2 linked regions of the Macaca mulatta genome follow. The protein of the gene in region 1 purifies or fractionates together with the protein of each later gene. This does not show direct contact. Links are inferred from orthologs where the notes say so. Each region holds a gene or a part of one and is shown on either strand. Other genes may lie near its edges. The genes, in order: FAM117B and DCAF7.

Region 1 (4,273 bases):
CCAACTCTCGACCTCAGGTGATCCGCCCGCCTTAGCCTCTCAAAGTGCGGCGATTACAGGCATGAGCCACCGCACCCGGTCTCCTCTCTGGGTCTTTAAAAGCCTTCCACCTAACGCCTGTAATTCCAGCACTCTGGGAGGCTGAGATGGGCGGATCATGAGGTCAAGAGATCAAGACCACCCTGGCCAACATGGTGAAACCCCCGTCTCTACTAAAAATACAAAAATTAGCCGGGCGTGGCGGCACGCACCTGTAATCCCAGCTACTTGGGAAGCTGAGGCAGGAGATTTGCCTGAACGCGGGAGGCGGAGGTTGCAGTGAGCCGAGATCGAGTCACTGCACTCCAGCCTGGGGGACAGAGCGAGACTTCATCTCAAAAAAACAAAACAAAACAAAAGTCTTCCACCACCGCGCACAGGGATCCAGTAGGATTTCAGGTCCAGAGTGAATCATACTATGGTCTCCACTCCCACATTTTTACACGACGAAATCTGTCTAGCATGTACAACTAATAAAAATAGTACAGGGAAAAGAGGTAATGGATAGGCAATTTATAGCCAGAGAGGTGGGAGTGTAGGTTTTGGGTCCACCATTTTTTATTTTCTTGATAAGGAGCCCTTTAGGCCATTTTAGAACTAGTGTCACTGCCTGCCTTCCTGGGTCTTTGCCACACCAAAGACTTGTTTCCTCCACTAGACAAAAACATGGATGGCTGGCCCAGTTCTGTCTCAAACAATGATCGTGTAGAATCAAATAAGGCCCTCTGTAAACTATAGCATTTTACAGACTGGTAAGGTAGCAGCCATTTTTCCAAGGTATCAGGGAACAGCGAAGCAGCTGATTAAAATAGTCTTGATTACTTGAGATACAGAAGGGTAGGAATAACATGTGGTAACTGAACTCCATAGATACTATCTAAAACCGCATTCTAACAGGCAAATTTAATCTTTCTGAGATTTGCCTCTTTGTAGAGCTCTAAAAAATAAGAAAAGGAGAGGGGTGTAAAATGCCACTTAAGATTTGTTAAATTTCTTCTCCTTTTGAGCCCTGTCCATAGGTAGATGGAATTAGGGCAGAACAAAAACATTAAGAATAAAAGCCCGAAGGAGAGGCGCGTACATGTGAATACAAGTGAATACTGGGGTAAGGAAATGAGTTATGCGGAAAAGGCTTCAGACCATCCCTGGGAACTGTTCCGGGTCCGGACATTTCCTTTGGCAACCTTCCAGAGTCTGAGTCCCCAGGGCTCCCCCCTGCGGGAAGGGAAAGGCGCGCGTGGCTAGGCGCGCGCGTACACGGGCACTCACGTGTACACACACACGCGCGCACACTACACATACACACACTGCCCATTTCCTCCGCTCCCTCCCCGCGGGGGGCGGGTCTCTTTCTCTTTAAAGAGCAGACGGTCTCCGCGCACACCCAGGCTCTCAAGGCCTCGGGGGCCCGGGACCCGAGCTGCTCGTAGCCAATGGGAGCGGTAGAGCGGCTCGAGCGCGGCTGACGCTGCACCAATGGGCGATCGTGGGGGGCGGGGGCAGCGGAGGAGACACTATTGTTGATGAGGAGCGGCGGCGGCGGCGGCTGCACCACCTCGTTGCTGCCGGTCCCGGCCCGGTCGCCCCCTGCACCCCGGAGTCCAGCTTCGTCACCCCGCGCGGGGGCCTGCCCTCCGGCCTCGAGAATCCTCCCCCTGCAGCCCAACAACAAAACCCCCCGTCTCGCCCAGTCACCGGGGAGGGGGGGACCATGTCCCAGCGGGTGAGGCGCAATGGGTCCCCCACGCCAGCCGGCTCCCTTGGGGGTGGTGCGGTCGCCACGGCCGGGGGACCCGGGAGCCGCTTGCAGCCCATGAGGGCTACGGTTCCGTTCCAGCTGAAGCAGCAGCAGCAACATGGCAGCCCCACGCGGAGCGGCGGCGGCGGCGGCGGCGGCAACAACAACGGTGGCTGCTGTGGTGGCGCCTCAGGCCCCGCAGGCGGCGGCGGCGGCCCGCGCACCGCCTTGCGCAGCACCAGCCCCACGCGCGGCGGCGGGAACGCGGCCGCGCGCACCAGCCCCACGGTGGCCACGCAGACGGGCGCGTCCGCGACGTCCACGCGAGGCACCAGCCCCACGCGCGGCGCCGCGCCTGGAGCTCGCGGGAGCCCCCCACGGCCGCCGCCACCGCCGCCGTTGCTGGGCACCGTGTCGTCGCCCAGCTCGTCGCCCACCCACCTGTGGACCGGCGAGGTGAGCGCGGCCCCACCCCCAGCCCGCGTCCGGCATCGGAGGAGGTCTCCGGAGCAGAGCCGAAGCTCGCCGGAGAAGAGGAGCCCTAGCGCCCCGGTTTGCAAAGCAGGTAAGTGCTGGGGGTCGCGCAGCGAGGGGGAGGCGGCGGCGGGAAGGAGTCCCGGGCGCGCGCTGCAATCGCGCGGGGAATGCAGCGCTGCCGCGGAGCCCGGGTGGCTGGGGGCGGGGCTGGGGGCGGTGTCGGGCGGTGGGGACCGGGCAGTGCGGCCCCGCCTTTCCCGGGCCTACCCTGCGCCCCGCCCGCCCGTCTCATTCATTCCTCTGCCCGCCCCGCGCGGCTCCCTGGCGGTGGAGGTGCAGTGGCTAAACCTTGGGCTTGAGCTGATGAGTGTTAATGATAACCCTGGCGTCCTGGCCGTATTCCTGGAGGAGTCGTTACTGCTTACCCTCCTTTGAGGGTGAGGCTAGGAGTGGTTTATCACTTTGTTTTAGGCACAAGGTTAATGTTGGCATAGCCCGTATCTGCTGCTGCTAAGTATTTCTGTTCACAGAACAGTTTCAGATCTGGGGTACTGAATGCATTAGCAGTGGCAGATTTGGATCACTGAACAGACGAGGCTGAGACCCGTGTTTTAGCATTTTCCAAGACTTTGATAAATGGGTAGCAAGAAGTGAGAATTAAGCAAGATTCCTTAGGAAGGTTTATGGGTTTTGTCTGAGGTTCTGGGTGTATTTCTGATTTTGTGTACTGATTCTGTTGTTTGAATGTAGAAAAACAGAATCCAGTGTTTGTCTCCATCTTGTTATTGTTTTAGGGAGCTAACATTCGTTGTTTTTCTGTTTACCTGGAAGCTTTCTTGGGGAAAGTCGTGAATGGAGCTGTGGGTGCCATTGGAGTCATTCATAAAGAGTAACTCAAAAGAAAAATTCAAATTGTGGGAAGTGGAAAGGAATAAAATTTATCATCTTGTTGCCTTGAGAAAATAAATATGTGGTTTTTAATTATGTATTCATTTTTGTCAACATATATCTTTGTCTTTCCCTTACTGGGATAGTTCTGTTAGAATCTTCCAGGCAGAATGGTTGGGAATTTCAGGAAACAAATTCAGATGAAATAGTTTCCGAAATGGAAGGAATAGGATGACTCTTTCTTACTGTTTATGAAAAGTTTTAGATAATACTTTTTTTAGAGATAATTGCCCTGGAAAATGATTAATAGTGTTTTCTTTTTTTGAGGTAGAATCTCTGTCACCCAGGCTGGAGTACAGTTAGGCGATCTTGGCTTACTGCAACCTCTAACTCCCGGGTTCAAACGATTCTGCCTCAGCCTCCTAAGTAGCTGGGGTTACAGGCGACCGCCACCATAACCGGCTAATTTTTAGTAGAGACAGGGTTTCACCATGTTGGCCAGGCTGGTCTCGAACTCCTGACTTCAGGTGATCCGCCCGCCTCGGCTTCTCAAAATGCTGGGATTACAGGCGTGCGCCTCCGCGAGCTGCCCGAATAGTGCTTTCTAATTAGAACTAGAGCACTGTTTTATTTATTTGTATTTATATTTTTATTTATTTTTTGAGACGGAGTCTTGCTCAGCCGCCCAAACTGGAGTGCAGTTATGTGATCTCAGCTCACTGCAACCACTGTCACCCGGGTTCAAGCGATTCTTCTGTCTCAGCCTCCCGAGTACCTGGGATTACAGGCACCCGCCATCATGCCCGGCTAATTTTTGTATTTTAGTAGAGACAGGGTTTCACCATGTTGGCCAGGCTGATTTGGAACTCTTGACCTCAGGTGATCTGCCTGCCTCGGCCTCCCGAAGTGCTAGGATTGCCCGGTCCAGAGCACTATTTTAAATCTTTTGAGAATGCAGAATGCTTTTCTAAAACTGTGATAAAAGTATTAGACTTCACCTCCCCGCTTCATAACCTCTGTCACCTGATGAACTCTTACTATGTGTCAGGTAGTTTTTATGCAAAATCTCATTTCACCTTCACTATGGCTTTTAGAGAGGTTAAGTAACAAGTTGCAGAGCTGGTATTTATT
Region 2 (3,811 bases), on another chromosome or scaffold:
TCCATGGGACCTTTCAGGTTTCACTTTAACAAACCGACAGTGAGCTCTAGACACATCGGAGGGCCTCACAGAATTTTGCCTGGTTGTGGTGTGTGACTTGTGGTTTTCATTTCACTGTTTCCCAGACCAGAGCAAGCATCCCTTACTGGCCAGGCGCAGTGGCTCACGCCTGTAATCCGAGCACTTTGGGAGGCTGAGGCAGGTGGATCACCTGAGGTCGGGAGTTCGTGACCAGCCTGACAAACGTGGTGAAACCCTGTCTCTACTAAAAATACAAAAAAAATTAGGCATAGTGACACACAGCTGTAGTTCAAGCTACTTGGTACTGAGGCAGGAGAATCACTTGAACCCAGGAGGTGGAGGTTGCAGTGACCAGAGATTATGCTACTGCCTTCCAGCTGGGGCAACAGAGCGAGACTCTGCCTCCAGAAAAAAGAAAAAAAAGAGTACCCCTTAAAAATATGTTGGGCCAGGCACAGTGTCTCAGGCCTGTAATTGCAGCACTTTGGGAGGCTAAGGTGGGAGGATTCCTTGAGACCAAGAGTTCGAGACCAGCCTGGACAGTATAGTGAAACCTCATCTCTACAAAAAGTTAAAAAAACTATCTGGGTGTAGTGGTGAATTGCTATAGTCCTAGCTACTTAGAGGCTGAGGTGAGAGGATCCCTTGAGCCCAGGAGTTTGAGGTTACAGTGAGCTATGATTGTGCCACTGCACTCCAACCTGGGCAACCAAGGAAGACTCTGCCTCTAAAATAAATTTTAAAAAAAGAAAAGAAAGGCCGGGTGCAGTGGCTCATGCCTGTAATACCAGCACTTTGGGAGGCCGAGGCAGGTGGATCATGAGGTCAGGAGATCAAGACCATCCTGACCAACGTGGTGAAGCCCCATCTCTACTAAAAATACAAAAATTAGCCGGGCATGGTGGTGTGCGCCTGTAGTCCCGGCTACTTGGGAGGCTGAGGCAGGAGAATCGCTTGAACCCAGGAGGTGGAGGTTGCAGTGAGCTGAGATCGTGCCATTACCCTCTATCCTGGTGACAGAGTGAGACTCCATCTCAGAAAAAAAAGAAAAGAAAAATATGCTGTTTGTCAATGCACTTTTATTGTAGAAATACTGCGAATCTGATATTAAAAATGAAAACAGTACAGAGGCATATTTAGAGCAAGGTGAAGGTCATCTTTTCTCCTTGCTATATCATTTCTGCCTCCATCCCACTCTGCATAGATGACCTCTGTCAACAGGTAATGTATCTCCTTCCAGACCCTTTTGGTATACATTTGGGGGTGTACATCCACGCCCTCAAATACAACTATATACCTCTTCCTTTTGCACTGAGAGGATTCTGTCCTAGCCCTGTGGTGGTTTACTGCTTAACTTTTTTAGTGTGTTTTTTTTTCTTCTCCTCACTGATCAGTAGCCTTATAATGGACAAGATTCGTTATGGAGTCCAAGAAGCAATGTACTGTGGTGTTTTTCTGCCATTTGAGCATTATTTGGAAAGCATGAAGCTTTTCCTGATTTTGGCCCTCTGCTCATGCCTGTATATCTCCTTGAAGAGCAGTTGGGGGCCTGCTGCTGCCTTCTGTACCTCAGATTGTGGTTTGTCTTCTTCATTATTGCCTTTTTTTTTTTTTTTTTTTTTTTTTTCCAGCGGTGTGGATAGGGAGGGATAGAAGAAGCAGAAAAGAAAGGTGTCATCCATTATTCATGGAAAGTAGGACTGGCCCCATAGAAGCCCCATTTTCTGCTCCTGGCTTCTCCCTTTGTCCGGCTCGCTGTTTTGTGTGTTGCACCTGCCTTGAGCCCCTTCAACCGAAGGAACTGTTGCTCAAGTGTGCTCAGTTGAGCATTGAGGAAAAGGGGCTTAGTGCTTTAGAGGTGCAATTCCCTGACCTCTTGGCATTGATTATCTCTGGGAGAGGGATCTTGCACCTGGCCCAGATTATGCGGCCTTGGCAGGAGACTGGTATTGCCCACAATTGACCTATTAGGGTTTAGTTTATTCAGATTTTCTGTGTATGTGAGACCAGCTTTCATCAGAATGTATGGCAGAGTCAGGGTACACTGCAGCTCTGAAGGCCATTGCCTTTTTTTTTCTTTTTTTAAAATTAACTTACTATTTTGATTATAAAAGTAATATAGGCCGGGTGCAGTGGTTCATGCCTGTAATCCCAGCATTTTGGGAGGCCGAGGCAGGAGAATCGCTTGAACCTGGGAGGCGTTGGTTACAGTGAGCTGAGATCGCACCATTATGCTCAAGCCTGGGTGACAGAACAAGACTCCATTTAAAAAAAAAAAAAAGTTATATAAGCACATTACGGATCACTTAGGAACTAGAGAAAAGTAAACGTAACTCCTAACCTTGTCATCTTAGTATTGCCATCATTCTCATTTTAATATATTTCCTTCTAGTCATTTTTCATGTGCTTTTATATATTTAAGGTGATTACCATCTTTCTGGTGTTTCCCATAGCTATTTTCTTGGATTTTTTTTTTTTTTTTTTTTTTGAGATGAAGTCTCACTCTGTTGCCCAGGCTGGAGTGCAATGGCACCATCTTGGCTCACTGCAACCTCTGCCTCCTGAGTTCAAGCGATTCTCCTGCCTCAGCCACCCGAGTAGCTGGGATTACAGGTGTGCACCACCACATCTGGCTAATTTGTAATTTTTTTTTTTTTTTTTTTTAATAAAGATAGGGTTTCACCATGTTGGCCAGGCTGGTCTTGAACTCCTGATCTCAAGTGATCCGCCTGCCTCGGCCTTCCAAAGTGCTGGGATTACAGGTGTGAGCCACCATGCCTGGCCAGGAAAGAATTTTTTAACAGCACATACCAACACTACTTTGTCAGTCTTCTTCTATATAACAACTCACTGAAGCATAAATGCCCATCAAACAGGGAAGAAACGCTCTCATTATATTGAATGATCAGGAAGGATCTTTATAACCACTCAAGTATTTTAAGTGGCTACAAATGACATGTTTGGTATCCCCTTGTCCACTCCTGATACCTGACCCAGATGAGAAGGACTCATTCGTGCAGTGGATAGAGCCTGGGGACATCTGGGAGATGGAGTCAGGGCCTAGATTTGAGTTCTGGCTCTGCCACTCACTTGGCTGAATAGCGCCTTAACATTTCTGAATCTCAGTTTCCTCATCGATAAAATGGGGGCTTAACATAGAACCGCCGTCACGGGGATGCGTGCTTTGTAAACTGTGAATTGCTCCTGAAATGCAGGGATCATCATCCCCATTGCCTCACTTGTGACCCTGCTTGCTGGCTTTCTTTGTCCCTAGCGGATGACCACCAGGCTCTCATCTGGGACATCCAGCAAATGCCCCGAGCCATCGAGGACCCTATCCTGGCCTACACAGCTGAAGGAGAGATCAACAATGTGCAGTGGGCATCAACTCAGCCCGACTGGATCGCCATCTGCTACAACAACTGCCTGGAGATACTCAGAGTGTAGTGTTGGTGGCGCTGTGCCCACGAGGCAGGGGCTTTTGTGTTTCCTGCCTCTGCCCCACCCCCAAAGTAAGAAGAAACATGTTTCCAGTGGCCAGTATGTCTTTCATTGCTTTGCACCCACTGTTACCAGAAGCTGCTCTAGGAGTTCCTGGCCAGTCACCCCATCGCCCTCTGTGGCAGACTCAGTGCTGTGTGGCGCCTCCTCAGCCCAGGGCTGAGTTTTAAGATTTTCTCTCCTTTCCTCTTCTTCTTTGGTTCCTCAATTAAAAATGTGTGTATATTTGTTTGTCAGGCATTGTGTTGAGGAGCAGTTCACACACTGGCTGTGTCTATTCCTCTGCCCA

Evidence for each region.
Region 2: the proteins of FAM117B (region 1) and DCAF7 purify together in Homo sapiens (affinity purification with mass spectrometry; 3 studies listed by BioGRID and IntAct, with this or other methods). This does not show direct contact. The link is inferred for Macaca mulatta from reciprocal best matches to the Homo sapiens genes FAM117B and DCAF7.

What each region holds. Positions count from the first base shown.
Region 1 is NC_133417.1:107,833,052-107,837,324, forward strand, and holds the start of FAM117B (protein FAM117B), read left to right. Parts: upstream 1-1,431; 5' UTR 1,432-1,750; coding exon 1,751-2,342; intron 2,343-4,273.
Region 2 is NC_133421.1:73,377,527-73,381,337, forward strand, and holds part of DCAF7 (DDB1- and CUL4-associated factor 7), read left to right. Parts: intron 1-3,295; coding exon 3,296-3,468; 3' UTR 3,469-3,811. UniProt on the Homo sapiens protein: Involved in craniofacial development. Acts upstream of the EDN1 pathway and is required for formation of the upper jaw equivalent, the palatoquadrate. The activity required for EDN1 pathway function differs between the first and second arches.